Linked DNA regions of Bombyx mori. The protein of the gene in region 1 purifies or fractionates together with the protein of each later gene. This does not show direct contact. Links are inferred from orthologs where the notes say so. Each region holds a gene or a part of one and is shown in the gene's direction. Other genes may lie near its edges.

Evidence for each region.
Region 2: the proteins of (E3-independent) E2 ubiquitin-conjugating enzyme (region 1) and ATP-dependent DNA helicase Q4 purify together in Homo sapiens (affinity purification with mass spectrometry; 3 studies listed by BioGRID, with this or other methods). This does not show direct contact. The link is inferred for Bombyx mori from reciprocal best matches to the Homo sapiens genes UBE2O and RECQL4.
Region 3: the proteins of (E3-independent) E2 ubiquitin-conjugating enzyme (region 1) and putative methyltransferase WBSCR22-like protein purify together in Homo sapiens (affinity purification with mass spectrometry; 5 studies listed by BioGRID and IntAct, counting the BioPlex papers as one, with this or other methods). This does not show direct contact. The link is inferred for Bombyx mori from reciprocal best matches to the Homo sapiens genes UBE2O and BUD23.
Region 4: the proteins of (E3-independent) E2 ubiquitin-conjugating enzyme (region 1) and F-actin capping protein beta subunit purify together in Homo sapiens (affinity purification with mass spectrometry; 3 studies listed by BioGRID and IntAct, with this or other methods). This does not show direct contact. The link is inferred for Bombyx mori from reciprocal best matches to the Homo sapiens genes UBE2O and CAPZB.

Annotation. Positions count from the first base shown.
Region 1 is NC_085123.1:4,186,397-4,190,155, forward strand, and holds part of (E3-independent) E2 ubiquitin-conjugating enzyme, read left to right. Parts: coding exon 1-43; intron 44-380; coding exon 381-495; intron 496-1,210; coding exon 1,211-1,342; intron 1,343-1,863; coding exon 1,864-2,015; intron 2,016-3,120; coding exon 3,121-3,293; intron 3,294-3,759. UniProt on the Homo sapiens protein: E2/E3 hybrid ubiquitin-protein ligase that displays both E2 and E3 ligase activities and mediates monoubiquitination of target proteins. Negatively regulates TRAF6-mediated NF-kappa-B activation independently of its E2 activity.
Region 2 is NC_085117.1:12,271,965-12,276,404, reverse strand, and holds the start of ATP-dependent DNA helicase Q4, read left to right. Parts: upstream 1-1,415; 5' UTR 1,416-1,600; coding exon 1,601-4,440. UniProt on the Homo sapiens protein: An ATP-dependent DNA helicase which unwinds dsDNA with a 3'-overhang in a 3'-5' direction. Does not unwind more than 18 bp of dsDNA. May modulate chromosome segregation. The N-terminal domain (residues 1-54) binds DNA Y-shaped DNA better than ss- or dsDNA.
Region 3 is NC_085122.1:5,821,214-5,825,511, reverse strand, and holds putative methyltransferase WBSCR22-like protein, read left to right. Parts: upstream 1-1,419; 5' UTR 1,420-1,638; coding exon of another isoform or gene 1,639-1,677; intron 1,678-1,758; coding exon of another isoform or gene 1,759-1,765; coding exon 1,766-1,800; intron 1,801-2,679; coding exon 2,680-2,858; intron 2,859-3,347; coding exon 3,348-3,541; intron 3,542-3,608; coding exon 3,609-3,798; intron 3,799-3,913; coding exon 3,914-4,101; 3' UTR 4,102-4,153; downstream 4,154-4,298. Other genes in the region: ATP synthase subunit C lysine N-methyltransferase, read right to left, coding at 4,154-4,298.
Region 4 is NC_085109.1:2,870,648-2,872,941, forward strand, and holds the end of F-actin capping protein beta subunit, read left to right. Parts: intron 1-416; exon of another isoform or gene 417-417; coding exon 418-545; 3' UTR 546-1,641; downstream 1,642-2,294. UniProt on the Homo sapiens protein: F-actin-capping proteins bind in a Ca(2+)-independent manner to the fast growing ends of actin filaments (barbed end) thereby blocking the exchange of subunits at these ends.

The DNA of each region.
Region 1 (3,759 bases):
GGAAATGAAGGCTGCTAGAAAACATAAGATGCATGATCATAAGGTTTGAAATTTTTTTATTGTGTAAGTAAATTTTTCTATATTAAAAAGTTTCATTTTTTTAAATTATAATGATATTTTTTTAAATAGTTTTTAATTTAGAGATATATTATATCATTACATAATTTGAAACCAAAACGATGGCATGAAAATCATTTTAATCACAATGATATTAAAAAAGCTTATATAGCCTAAATAAAAACTACACGACAAATTCCTGTAACGAAATATACTACACATAAAAAAAAACTGTTCTAAACAAGTTCTGTCCTAACAACATCCATCCCAAATAGTTTTGAAATACCAATAAACAAAAATGGTTCCTTATATGTATTTTTCAGTTTACTGTGGAAGCGGTTGTCACGGAGAGTGTGAGTGTGCACTGGCAGTGTCGTGCCCTTTGTACTCATCCAACAGAGACTGGAGCTCCTCAACAACCGAAGTTCTTCGTGGAAGGTGAGTCTGATTATATGAATTGATGTTACTTAACTCATGCTGATACATTGTAGAACAGTTCTGATATATCTTACAAAGTGGACGATAGGAAACCTAAAAGCACTTATTACACAAATATCATTCAAATTCTACAAAGCTGAGTTGGATGTATCTTCAATATATGTGACATCATTTGTTTTTTATCACATTTCAAATATTCTAACTTAATACATTTTAAATCACTAACATCCATCCATTGTCACCCCCGCCCGGGCGTAGTTGGAATAACCCCTTAGGCTACCAACGATTAGGTAGGAGGGAAAAACAGTCACAAATATTTTCATTTTCAATTAAGAATTCGCTCATTTTCAACAAAAAGCGATAGTCACACAATTACAAACGGTTTTTATATTGTCTTCTTCGTGGCGTCAGTTTGCTTATTTCTAACTACAGTGTAATAAGCATATCAAAAGTAAGAGACCAATTTGAAATTCTCAGAATTTCGACAATGACCTACCGTATGTTGTATGATGGTAAAATAATGACCATTTAAAATTTAAAAATACATATATGTATATTTCACGTAGATCATGCCAAAAAAGTGACAATGCTTTTGACATGCGCTTGAAGGAGGCACAGTTCCCAAGATACTGGCTACGTTACCTCGTTGGACAGACAGACTCACTCTCTGTGCAAATGCTTTTTCTATAATTAAAAATCAATTCATTGTTTCCAGGAGACGACCTGAAAAACTTGAAATTGCTAAATGTGTTCGAGCCGTGTACATTACAAGTAGGAGACCGAAACTTCCTGACAATTACCACAGAAGATACATTTGTTGGTAAAAAGCAATGGAGGAAACAGCAGAGTAAGTGGAACTGTTATTATCGATAGCCAATATTTTTCATCATCAATTTGGGAATATTTCACACACACACTGACCTATTCCAACTGATATTTGCTTTTGTATATTAGATTCTACTATTTTCCCTCTCAAATCCTTCTAGAAAGAACTGTTTGATTTGTTGTACTAATGCCGCCATTAACCTTGACACGTGAGTTCAGATTTGCAATATAACCTCTCAAACCGGAACATACGACCTTTGCGAGCTTAAAGCACACCCTAACACTAGTAATTAAGTTCTACTTAGAAGCTATTCCTATATGGTGACAGTCGTTTATACCCCTTTGTCCAGTCCGTTCTCAGAAAGGTAAAATAGAAAATTTCCTCACAATAATTTTTACCTACCTGCGAGATTAGAACATCGGCACAAATAAGTCAAGCATCTCAGCATTAGACCACGACACTTTTGAAATTACTCAAATAATTACAATACATCTTATTCATACAAAATGTCCACCCGCAATAACATTATAATTAAGAATCAGATTATCGTTCTCCAGGTAAAATCTACAGGAACCAACGTAAACAGACTCGTCCAGTAAAGAAATCGTCCAAATCGGAAACTAATTCTAGTGAACACGTGCCTTCGCGGCCCAAGAAACGAGCCTCATCGCACAGGAAACTGAAGCCTGCCGATGTAAGTGCAAACTGTACAGTCTCTTTTTTTACTTTTTTTAAAGCTGATTGCCTTGAGTGGCTATATCAGCGTAACCTAACAATTAGGTGAGCTGACGGAGCTCAAACTTAATGACGTTGCTAACACTAGCCCTAGCAACAGTGCTTCGCAGAATTACCATCGGATCGGAAACGCGACCCACTGAGAAGAACCGGCGAGAAACTCAGTGGGCTGTCTGTGTCCGTGGATTAAGTTACTCGCCGAGCCCTTGGTCGCAAGTGACGGGTTCGACGAGAACGATGACTGGGGCTTGAGGTACCTAAAAACACCGATAGTGGATCGGAACGATCCGTAATGACCTGTACAGTCTCGTTACAATGCCCTTAACTCGATACACTGTCAATTGATTTTTTTGTTAGTAGCTCTTAAGTCGATGGTATCAAATAAATAAAATACTGCAAATTAACATAAAATTAACAAACGTTTTGAGTTTTCAATTACGGTGGAAATTAAATCATGCGTTAATGAAATAAAAAATTGCATCCGCTGATTTTAATTGTTTCAGTATAACGTGCGAGTTAACGTTTTATCTGTCCATTATAATAAGACAGTCTAAAAAAAGTATTATGGTGTTGAATATTCATGGTCTTAATAAGGACCATTTTTCTTTCCTACCTATTGGCAATAGACTCGAAGGCCTATTCTAGTTTCACTGGATGTGTATGCTCACGGAGCTTAGCCGAGATATCAGTAACATCTGCCTTAGCAAAATGAGTGCTGTGTTGATTCACCAGATCGGAATCCGGTCACCGTTCTTGTCGAACCCATCGCTTGCGACGAAGGGCTCGACGAGCGAATTAACCCATAGACACAGCCCACTGAGTTTCTCGCTGGATCTCCTCAGTGGGTCACGTTTCCGATCCGGTGGTAGATTCTGCGAAGCACGGCTCTTGCTAGGGTCAGTGTTAGCAACACTCCGGTTTGAGTCCCGTGAGCTCACCTACACACGTTAGGGTGAAGCTGAAATAGCCTGTCAAGGCTATCAGCATAGGTAGGGGAAAAAAAGATCGGAATCTCGACAAAGGAAATCCAATCCTCTAAATTCCTTGAAATTTGTTATACACAGAATGAAATGGAAGTAGACATGACGGAGGAGAAACTTGAAAACTTAGACGAGGTCCTCAAGGCGGACCCGAGCTGTCCCAGCATCAAGATAGAGCCCATCGGCGACGTCTCACTACCCATGGCCAGCAGTCAAGAAGACACTGCTACCGAGGAGAAGAACGACTCTGGAATAAGGTATTTTTAAAAATTCATGTTCGTAGCACTCTAATGATCTAACTATCCACACTGAAGTCTGGAACAAGGTACTTCTAAATTGGTGTTTGTAGGTCTCTAATGGTCTAATTATTCACACTTAATAAGAATGATGATAAGCAAGTTCATTTTATGCATTTAAGCATTTAATGCCTACTACACGGCGCCGTGGAGATGTATAATAATATGTATTTTACTGGTGGTAGGACCTCTTGTGAGTCCGCGCGGGTAGGTACCACCACCCTGCCTATTTCTGCCGTGAAGCAGTAATGCGTTTGGGCTTGAAGAGTGAGGCAGCCGTTGTAACTATACTTGAGACCTTAGAACTTATATCTCAAGGTGGGTGGCGCATTTACGTTGTAGATGTCTACGGGCTCCAGTAACCATTTAACACCAGGTGGGTTGTAAGGTCGTCCATCCATCTAAGCAATAAAAAAAAAAATATGGC
Region 2 (4,440 bases), on another chromosome or scaffold:
TTTGTTTGTATAAAATAAATAATTAAAAAAATTCAATATCTAATTGTGTAAAAATAAAGATGACAATACTTATTAGAATTTTATTGTATTTTAGGTGTAATGGTTCTTATGTGTGAAAACTCAGGCGATTCACTTACATGCTCTTTGCCAGTATATTTAGCTGAGTCAGTAATTAATAGGAAATCATAAACATCTATTCCAACCATAAAAAAATATATATATCGAAAAACAAAAAATAAACGGGGCTTCGAAAAGTTTACTGGCTCCCGGCTCAGCAATGCCCAAAAGTAGCACCTCTATCGGTACCGTACTGCGGTGCTGACCTTCCGCCGACACCTGCGGCGCGGCGTGAGAATGGTTTTGTTTAAATGTAACTTGTAACGTTTGACGTTTTTTGTTATTAGAAAGTGGTTAGCATCTGCGAACCGGTCACCGTCCTCGTCGAACCCATCGCTTGCGACGAAGGACTTGATGAGCAAATTAACCCATGGACACAGCCCGCTGAGTTTCTCGCCAGATCTTCTCAGTGGGTCACGTTTTCGATCCGCTGGTAGATTCTGCCAAGCACTGCTCTTGCTAGGGTCAGTGTTAGCAACACTCCGGTTTGAGCCCCGTGAGCTCATCCACACATGTCAGGGTGAAGCTGAAATAGCCTCCTAAGGCTATCAGCATAGGTAGGAAAAAAAAAGAATATCTGTGAAACTGCACAAATGTGGGAAAAGGAAACAAAATACAACAAGATTCATTTAAAAAGTTATTGAAAAGGACTTAATAAATAACCACCATTTTATTGAGAATATTCCATCCCATCTCATCTCATCTCATTTCGTTTCATTTAATTTCATTTCAATTGATTCACTGAATTGATTAGAGTCTCAAGTTAAATCAAGTTAATGTCATTGGTAGTTTTCCAATTACAGCACTAGAGCGCATTATGCGGCATAATGCTCAACGTTGAATGTTCCAACTACAGCAACGCTTCGCACAATCGAGCACTCTCAAAAGTACTGCTCTCGCGTGATACTCGCAATCGTTACCGACTCAGTGACAGAAAATGGACAAGTGTTTTTTCTTTAAGTTGGCATTGATCGAAATTTTGTTTATGTTATCGTTAGTAATATTATTTAATGTTGAAAAAAATTGTAAGGCTTTCGTTTCGTCGTAGTATCTTAGAAATAATCAATGTTAATTAAAACTGTGCTAACTTAGCGCACTCTGCTGATGCATTTGAAAACTCATTCACGTTCCAATTAAGCTTTAGCATAATTCGGCATTGTGCATCACTGAGTCGCATTATGCTCTGTAATTGGAAAACTACCATTGTTTGCTTCATATAATTTTTCAAAAACAGATTAAATTAATGAGATTTGACTCAAAGGTCTTGTTACTACGCCATTAAATTAAAAAAAAATAGAAATCCGCGGTAAACTGTCAAACGCAATGATGTTATAGTAAAAAGACTCTTTACTATAACATCATTGGTCAAACGAGTGTATTTAATAATTGTAATATTTTGTAATTTCAATGGTTGAAGATTCTTGAAGATTGAAGATGAAAAAAACGTAGTCACCAAGTAGTCAATCAGTGTTGTACCGTAACGATGAACGTAATTGAAAGTATTAAAAAAGATAAAGCTTACCTCAAATGTAAGTTAACTGTAAAGAAGTGGGAAAAATCTTTCATAAGTTTGCATTCCCGGACACCATCAAAATTCGACATAAAAGAAGCTCCACCTAATATAAAGTATGCATATAAAAAGTATTTTCAATTAAAAAGTTCAGCTTTGGAAAATTCATTGACTGTTTGTGAAATAGATGATGAGTTTTCTTCATTCATTGAACCATTCGATGAGAAAGTTGAATACTCAATTCAGGATACTAGTTCGCCGTCGGATGCCAAAATTCCAGAATTACCTAATGGTGCTGAAATAGAAAAATTACTATCAAACGTTCCACTTTCCTTAAACATTGAAACACAACGCAATCAATCTCTGCCTTGCCTTGAAAATTTATCCAAAAAGCTGTTTGTTAACAGAGAATTTACTCTCAGGAATCCTAGAAAAATAGTTTCAGTTAAAAAAAATCAAATTAAACAAGCTGATACCAACTTAAAAAATATCGGTGGCAAAATTGTTGAACATGATTCAATTACACAAGTAAATGAAGATTTTTTGGAAAATGAAGTAAAGAATACTACTATTATCATAAAAAATGATGGTGATAAAAATATTGTTGATGGAACTAAACACATAAAAAAAATCACACACAACTACACAACTAGTGAAAGCATCACCCAAGTTACTAAAACCAATCCTTTAGAGACACATTTGCTGGCTAATCAAAATAACATTCTTCAAAACACCAGGCAACTTGATCAAGCATGGATAGAGCGAGCAGTTGGTCCAAGTTCAGTAACAGGCACCTTCTGTAAAGCAACTACATCTGAACAGTTTGGCATCAGAAATTTAAACACAGTAACCCAAAGTAATGATAAATATTTAGATTTTGTAGAAAATAGTGATTCTGAAGATGAGAATACACTTGATAAACTAAAGCCAGCCCTTAAGAAAAGAAAAATTGAAGAAATTGAACCTGCTGCCAATGAAGGTGTAATTGTTTTGGACAGCTTTGAAACCAAATTAAAATCATCATTCTCTAAAACAAATAATTGTGGAAAAAGAAAAAGATCTGGAGTTTCAAAAAATGATAAAAGTAGAGTAAAAGTGTTATCAAGCAAATGTAATGCCACAAATGATGACCAGCAGCTTCCAGATATAACTGAATTTGTTATGTTTAGCTTAGATAATGACATAGTACCTCGTCACACAGAAGTATCTAACATATTAAAAACTGTTAAACCTCCCAAAACATCAAATGACAACAACTCAGAGGGCTTTGATAATTTGCAGACTAAAATAAAACTAGGGACTCTAAATGATAATTTTGTAAAAGTTAATATTGAAAAAAAAGTTTTTGTCAGAGGGAAGAAAAGTTTTAACTTTTCAAAATATAAAAAACAACAATGGAAAGACAAAAAAGCTTTACATGCTTCCATGGAGTTTCCAGAAGCTGGGAAAATAAAATGTTTTAAATGTGGTAATGCTGGGCATATGGCACGATACTGCACAATACATAAAGCTGAAGGTCTACTACCTTTAGAGAGCTATGATGAAAATGAAATGCTTACATTGGAAGACATGGAAAAATTAGCTTATGGAGAAAATAGTAAAACTAAAACTTTGACTGAGGAACTAAACATAGCTTACACTCCAAGCCAAATTCCTGAAAATTTCATAAAAATGCTAGAAACCAAAGCAGACCCAAATTGTGGAACTGTTAAACCTTTATATCCAAATTACAATGAAGTGAATGATAATGAGCTACAAGAAGATTTATTAAAATTTGGGCACAATCAATTTCGACCAGGACAAGAAAAGGCTATAAAGAGAATTCTATGTGGCATGTCCACACTTTTGATTTTGTCCACTGGCAGTGGCAAGTCACTATGTTATCAATTACCTGCTTATATGTATAGAAAGAAATACAAATGCATTACATTAGTAATATCGCCACTTGTTTCTCTAATGGAGGACCAGGTTTTGAATATGCCTGAATTTTTAAAGGCTGGCTGTTTGCATACCAATCAACCACCAACACTACGTCAAAAAATTATACAATGTTTAAAGGATGGAGAAATAAGTATTCTTTTGATATCTCCAGAAGCTTTAATATCTAGTGATAATTCTAATGGACTAACTGGTCTCTTTAGATCATTGCCTCAAATAGCATTTGCATGTATAGATGAAGCTCACTGTGTTTCTCAGTGGAGTCATAATTTCCGACCAAGTTATTTAATGATTTGTCGTGTATTGAGAGAAAGACTGAATGTAAAATGTATCCTTGGACTGACAGCAACCGCGACACAAACCACCATAAAAAGCATCATAAAGCATATTAGTATACCTGATGGGACATCAGGAGTGATAACTAATCCAACATTGCCAGATAATCTATATTTAACAGTTTCATTTGAGAAAGATAGAGACAAAGGCTTAATATCATTTATAATGTCAGAAAAGATAACTACATTCAATTCTATTATAGTATATTGCATAAGAAGAGATGAATGTGAAAGAATTGCAGCAGTCTTGAGATCATGTTTGCAAACTTCTGTTAAATATTCTACAGAAAAACTAAATAAAAAAAGGAAAAGAATGTCTTATATCGCTGAAGCGTATCATGCTGGAATGTCTGCAGCACAGAGAAAAAAAATTCAAAAAAACTTTATGGATGGAACATTAAGGATCATTGTTGCAACTGTTGCTTTTGGAATGGGAATTAATAAATCAGACATAAGATGTATTATACATTATAACATGCCAAGTAGCTTTGAATCTTATGTACAAGAAGTAGGAAGAGCAGGCCGTGATGGAAAGCCTGC
Region 3 (4,298 bases), on another chromosome or scaffold:
TCGCCCTCCGGATACCACTTCGAGCAGCTCACTCGCTATTGAAGGCTGTTGCTTAATCCCTTTAATTGTATCCTTATGTTGTCGGTTTGTACCCTCATTGTGTCGTTTTAAGACATTTACCTCAGCTGTCATATTACCTAACAGCACATAAGGTGAATGTAGCTTTATGTGTATCAGTCGGGTGCTCACTTAACCAAGATGAAAAGTCCTTGTTAGTTAACCATTCAGAACGAAATTTCTGTTTATATATTTTTTTTTATTTTCACCTTCCTGAGTCTTTGGTTTTTTGGAGTAGGTGGGCCATCACCATCACTAATACTGTAAGGAGTAGCGCATGCGGTTGTCCATCGCTTATAGTCAGTCGTACATAGACGGCCCGACACTTGTGACGCCGCAAACACTTGTGACAATATACGGAGTAAAATTGGACCTCATTTGTTTTATTTATAAAGGGCAGCTATCACCTTACATACCTGGAAACCGTACAATTACTGTCTATAGTAGCCATTTTACAACACACAAAATGATAAAATGATTTTTTTTATTGTAATGATAGGAAAATTTGCCAGGTAATCGTTACATTGAAAAGTAACAGAGCAATATTTTATTTAAAAAAAAAAATGAATCTTATTATGTTGACAAAATATATAATAGTTCATTTTATTTTATTTGATTACATAAAAGTATGTATATTCTAATCCATTAGACTATTCTATTTGGTCAGCTTAATAACGGATGAACCATAGATAATACACTTAATATTTGAGATGAACCGTGGAATGAGCGCGCCGGCGCCGGCGCGCTCATTCCACGCATAAAAATTCCCTGATTAGATTTAAAAAATTGTCATATTAATATAAATGTTACCTTGTCTAAAAACCATAATGACAATAAAAATGTAATAATAAATGTGTTATTTTATTAATGAATATCAGTAACCTTGATATTCATGCAGTGCAGAACAATACTGAACCACCCTTCAGTACTGCTAAAATGATGACTGCTACAAATTGCGTGTGCAGAAGTCACTATAGAAGACTGGAGAAAAGTCGTAGAGAAAACAAAGAAAATAATTTTATACGATTTTGAACGAGATGTGAGAATAGACAATATTATTGAAAATTAATTAATAATATCTCGGAGTGCTGACAGCAGTGATGAAGATGACAATACTAATAACAGTTCTGATAGTTCAACTGAATAAATGTAATATTTTTGTTAAATTATGTATTTGTCTTATTTTGCTCTTTAAATTTACGAAAGAAAAAATAATAATGGAACAGGGATTCGCCTGATGATTATAAAAATTCACATTATAATATGTTTCAAGTTCGTATCGATTTATTCACATTAAACGATGTTTTTAAGCAGGCTACCTCACTATGAAGATAAAACTGACAAGTGACAACGTCAAATGCTACATATTATAAGTGGTAAAATGACTCAATACTAAATATATTTAAGTCTGTGGAGCAAGCCGTAGATAAGTAGTTTTTACACTTATTATTTTAAAAAGCTACATACTTCCTAGTTCATAAAATCATTTTATTAACGAGCACATACATATGTAGATACTTACTAAACACTAGGTTCATTTAAATTTGATTGATTTGAAAGTGATCCTTATATTGATGTAAGATGTCAAAAAGACCAGAACACCAGGCACCGCCTGAAGTTGTGAGTATAAGCTAATGTAAATATATTGTTTCAAATTTGAACAAAAAGGCACTATTGTTATTCGAATTATTTTTGTTCTAGTTTTATAATGATGAAGAGGCTAGAAAGTATACACAAAAGTACGTAAGTAAAAGTAACAAGGTATTGCGAATACTAACCTTTTTGCTAATGGTGGCACAAATGGAATTGTCTCTGAATTGTTGTAACCCAAAATATAATGTAAGTGGGCGATAGTGGTGAATGAGCACAACCACAAAAATCCACAACCTTCCCATGTCTAACGTCCTACAGTTTCATTAGTGTGGGAATTCGGGGGGCTTAATACTACATTTTAAAATAGTAAAGTGCTGTATAAAGTTTACAATAGAAACCATTATTGCAGGCAATCAACCCATCTAATGTTAATTAAATGGCCCCTGTTACTTATTTACTACAGTAATGTTTTATATTTAAACTGCAACTAAAGATATTTTCAAACTTCAAGTAAAAACAAGTACCTGTTTCTCGACGAACCCGTCGCTTACGACGAAGGGCTCGGCGACAAAATTAACCCACAGACATAGCCCACTGAGTTTCTTGCCAGATCTTCTCAGTGGGTTGCGTTTGTGATCCGGTGGTAGATTCTGCGAAGCACTGCTCTTGCTAACCCTAGCACTTACACGAACACTAACCCTAGTGTTAACGTCGTAGTTTGGGACTGGTGAGCTCACCTACTAATTCAGTGAATCTGGAATAACTCCTCAAGGTTACTAGAATAGGTAGGAAGCGATAAATGTAGAAATGCTAAGAATGATTGTCTTGTACTACAATGTTAATGATACTAGTTGGACAATATTTGCCAAATTCATTTGAGCATGGGGTTTATTGTACAATCCAGGAAAAACCTAACTATTTGTGAGATCTGGATTATGAACAATCTGAATGCTTCCCTCCTAATTCCAAAAATGTCTTTCCTTTTTTTATTAACTCTTTTTGAGAAAAAATTGTGTTTGATTATTTTAGCTCCAGGATCATAGAAATCCAAGGACAAATGACTGAGAGATGCTTAGAATTACTTCTATTACCGGAAGATTCATCTTGCTTGTTGTTGGATATTGGATGTGGTTCAGGATTATCTGGTACAGTGCTAGAAGAAAATGGACATATGTGGATTGGGATGGACATATCATCTTCAATGCTTGGTAAAAAATATTTTTGTCATCTGGCCACAGAAAGTAGCCTAGTCGATACTAGACTTAATTGGACACATAATGAGACATAATAAGACACATGACTTGTACCTTAGGTGTTGTATTTTTTCTCAGTTTTCACTACTTATAAAGATTGTTAATAACTGAAAGAGAACAAATTATAACCTGACAAAATTAAAACCCAAAAGGCTATTGGGTTGAAGTGACATTTTTGTAATTTTATAGAAGAACCATTTTAAATTTAAGTTTTGGAAAATTAATCATAATAAAACAGCTTCTTCAGCTATTTGAAAGTAGTAAACATAATTGATGTTCAACTAAAAATATTGAAATATAGATACTAATACCAAATAAATAGCATTTGTAATGTCACATAAACAGAATAGCCTTTCACCTTTTGATATATATCCTTGTTTCCTAAAGCCCAAAAAAGTATTTTGGTTCTTAAATTACACTATATATAATATGTCTATGTTGTAGATGTTGCTGTAGAGAGAGACACTGAAGGTGGTTTAGTTCTGGCTGATATGGGTGAAGGTGTCCCGTTTAGAGCAGGTTGCTTTGATGGAGCAGTATCCGTATCAGCTATACAATGGTTATTTAATGCTGATAAGAAAACTCATAATCCAGTGAAAAGACTAAACAAATTCTTCACCACTTTATATTCAAGTTTGGTAAGTTAACTATGAAAACGGTATTATTTATTATTCAATACAAAAACTCAATTATTATTTTTTTCAGTCAAGGTCTGCTCGAGCTGTCTTCCAATTTTACCCTGAGAATGAGAAGCAATTAGAACTCCTAACGACACAGGCAATGAAAGCTGGCTTTTATGGAGGAGTTGTAATTGACTATCCAAATTCTGCCAAAGCAAAGAAGTTCTTTTTAGTTTTAATGACTGGTGGCGTTGGTCCTTTACCTCAGGCTTTAGGTAATGTTGTATATATCATAAAATTATATCACATTAAAATAATACTATAGTGTGATGCTAATAAAAATGATGAAACCCACTTTTTTATATAATAAAATCAAAATTTGTATTACAGGTACTGAAGAACCAGACAGTCTTCAAGTTAAATATGCTAAAAGAGAAGCTACAAAAGGGATAAGAGGAAAACCTATAAAGAACTCAAAAGACTGGATTTTGGAGAAGAAAGAACGAAGAAGGAAACAGGGCAAAATTACAAAACCTGACACTAAATACACAGGAAGAAAAAGAAGTGGTCGATTCTAAAATAAAAACTGTTTATTATTTTGTATATCTAAGTAAATAAATTTGTTGCAACTTAACTGATTTTTACTTCATATTTCCAAACAGTGTCTACACCATGTCCAATAGTTTCTACAGGCACCATTGTTGGTAATGGGAATCGACACGCGACCACTACTGTGCGCTCTTGCGTTTCATCTAAAATTTTATTTTCTATATCG
Region 4 (2,294 bases), on another chromosome or scaffold:
GCACCGATGCTTGAATCCCGCAGGCGGTTACCAATTTTTCTAATTAAATATGTACTTACAAATATTCACGATCGACTTCCACGGTGAAAGAATAACATCGTGTAATAAAAACCAAATCCGCAAAAATATAATTTGCGTAATTACTGGTGGTAGGACCTCATGTATGTCCGCACGGGTAGGTAGCACCACCCGCCTATTTCTGCCGTGAAGCAGTAATGCGTTTCGGCTTGAAGAGTGGGGCAGCCGTTGTAGCTATACTGAGACCTTAGAACTTATATCTCAAGGTGGGTGGCGCATTTACGTTGTAAATGTCTATGGGATCCAGTAACCACTTAACACCAGGTGGGCTGTGAGCTTGTCCACCCATCTAAGCAATAAATAAAAAAAGACACTGAAGGTGATGATTTTGTTTTGTAGGTAAAACAAAAGATATAGTGAGCGGGCTGAGGTCAGTGATCCCGGCGGACGTGGCGCGCCGCACCGCCGCGCTGCAGCACGACCTCGCGCTCGCCCTGCAGCGCCGCCACGTGCAGCGCGACGACTGAGAGCGCCGCCCCCGCCCCCCGCTCGGCACACGTGAGTGCGGACACCGACCACAGACTCTAGAACGAACAGACTTACAATTTAACCTAAAAAAGCAACCCCAATTAAAACGTCTAGAATTAAAATTATTATCCCAACTACAATTATTAATAAATCAAAAATATAAATTACTATCTATATAAATTAATTTATTTATAAATTGACTTCTAAAACCAATACATTTATTCTGCCAAAATAGTTTATAAATTAAATATATAAATCAATCATAAATTCAACATAATTCAATATAATTGCAATATAATTGCAATGTTTAATCCTTTCGTACTAAAATATTATAAATATTAAAAGATAGAAACCAACTTGGTCCACCTGATGGTTGTCTGGAAGAGATCGCTCTTAGCGATAAGACCGCCTATTGTACTTTTTTATTTATCTAATGTTTCGCATTGTTTAATTTTTTTTTTGTGTACTATATAGAATACTCTCTCTCTTTCTCTCTTCCAATTTTTCGATATTCAAATTTTCTTGCGAAGGCGCAGTCGATTGAGATATCGGCCTCAAGGGTATAAGTTCCGACGACCACTGCATTACTGTATCACGGTAGAAATAGGCAGGGTGGTACCTACCCGTGCGGGCCCACAAGGCCTACCGTCAGTAAAACTGTCACTTGTCACAATTTGACAACAATTACACATATCGAGGGGTGAAAGGTCATTTGGTTGAAGCGACATTTTTGCAACTGTACAGGAAGCTAATAAGGCTTAAAAAAAAAAAAATAAAAAAAAAAACTTCAGCTATTTCAATGGCGTTCGAATTCTTCTTAATTGAAATTTGATTAAAAATATCGTCTTTTGATGCTAATAATGGAAATTCGAAATGTCGCTTAAACCTTTATATACATATGTTATAATAGTCTTGCAACCCTCGATATATTTTTTTTGTTTAAATTTCAACTTTAATGATAAATTAATTGATTAAAATTATTTATAAAATTACATTACGCACTATGAACACACAATATTATATGGGAATAACCGCAATTTTTCTGCTTATTTTTTATGTATAATATGTAAAATAATACATGACATACAGCCCGTAGTTGAGATGTTTCATTGTTAAATTACTGTCCTTTTTGTACTGACTTCTAGTGTCATAATACGGTTTCGCAAAACAGGAAACTTTGTAGGAACGTATCTACCGTGTAATTTTTTTTTCCCTGCCTTACCTGATAGCCTTGAGAGGCTATTTCAGCTTCACCCTAACATTTGTAGGTGAGCTCGCGGGGCTCAAACCGGAGAGTTGCTAACACTGATCTTAGCAAAGAGCAGTGCTTCGCAGAATCTACCACCGGATCGGAAACGCGACCCACTGAGAAGATCCGGCGAGAAACTCAGTGGGCTGTGTCTATGGGTACCGTGTTATAGGCGAGTCACCCGTATTTATATTTCGCGTAAAAAATTACAGATGAGGTGGAGACGTTCGGTGATGTAACGAAGATAGAAGTGTTGCAAGAGGATAAACAGTGAAACGAACCTCACGTGTGAGAACTTATGAACATTAAATTAATTCCCCCGGTATATATGTCTCGTTAGTGTGTAAATGTAGATTTTAAATATGGCCGTTTATGGTGCTTTAACAGTCTTCAGAATTACGTTTGTTAAAATAATAAATATATACATACTTACAAAGAGAACAATTTCGATGATTTATAAACTTCAGTAGTGGCCATTTTGGCGTTATTCAGTTAATTA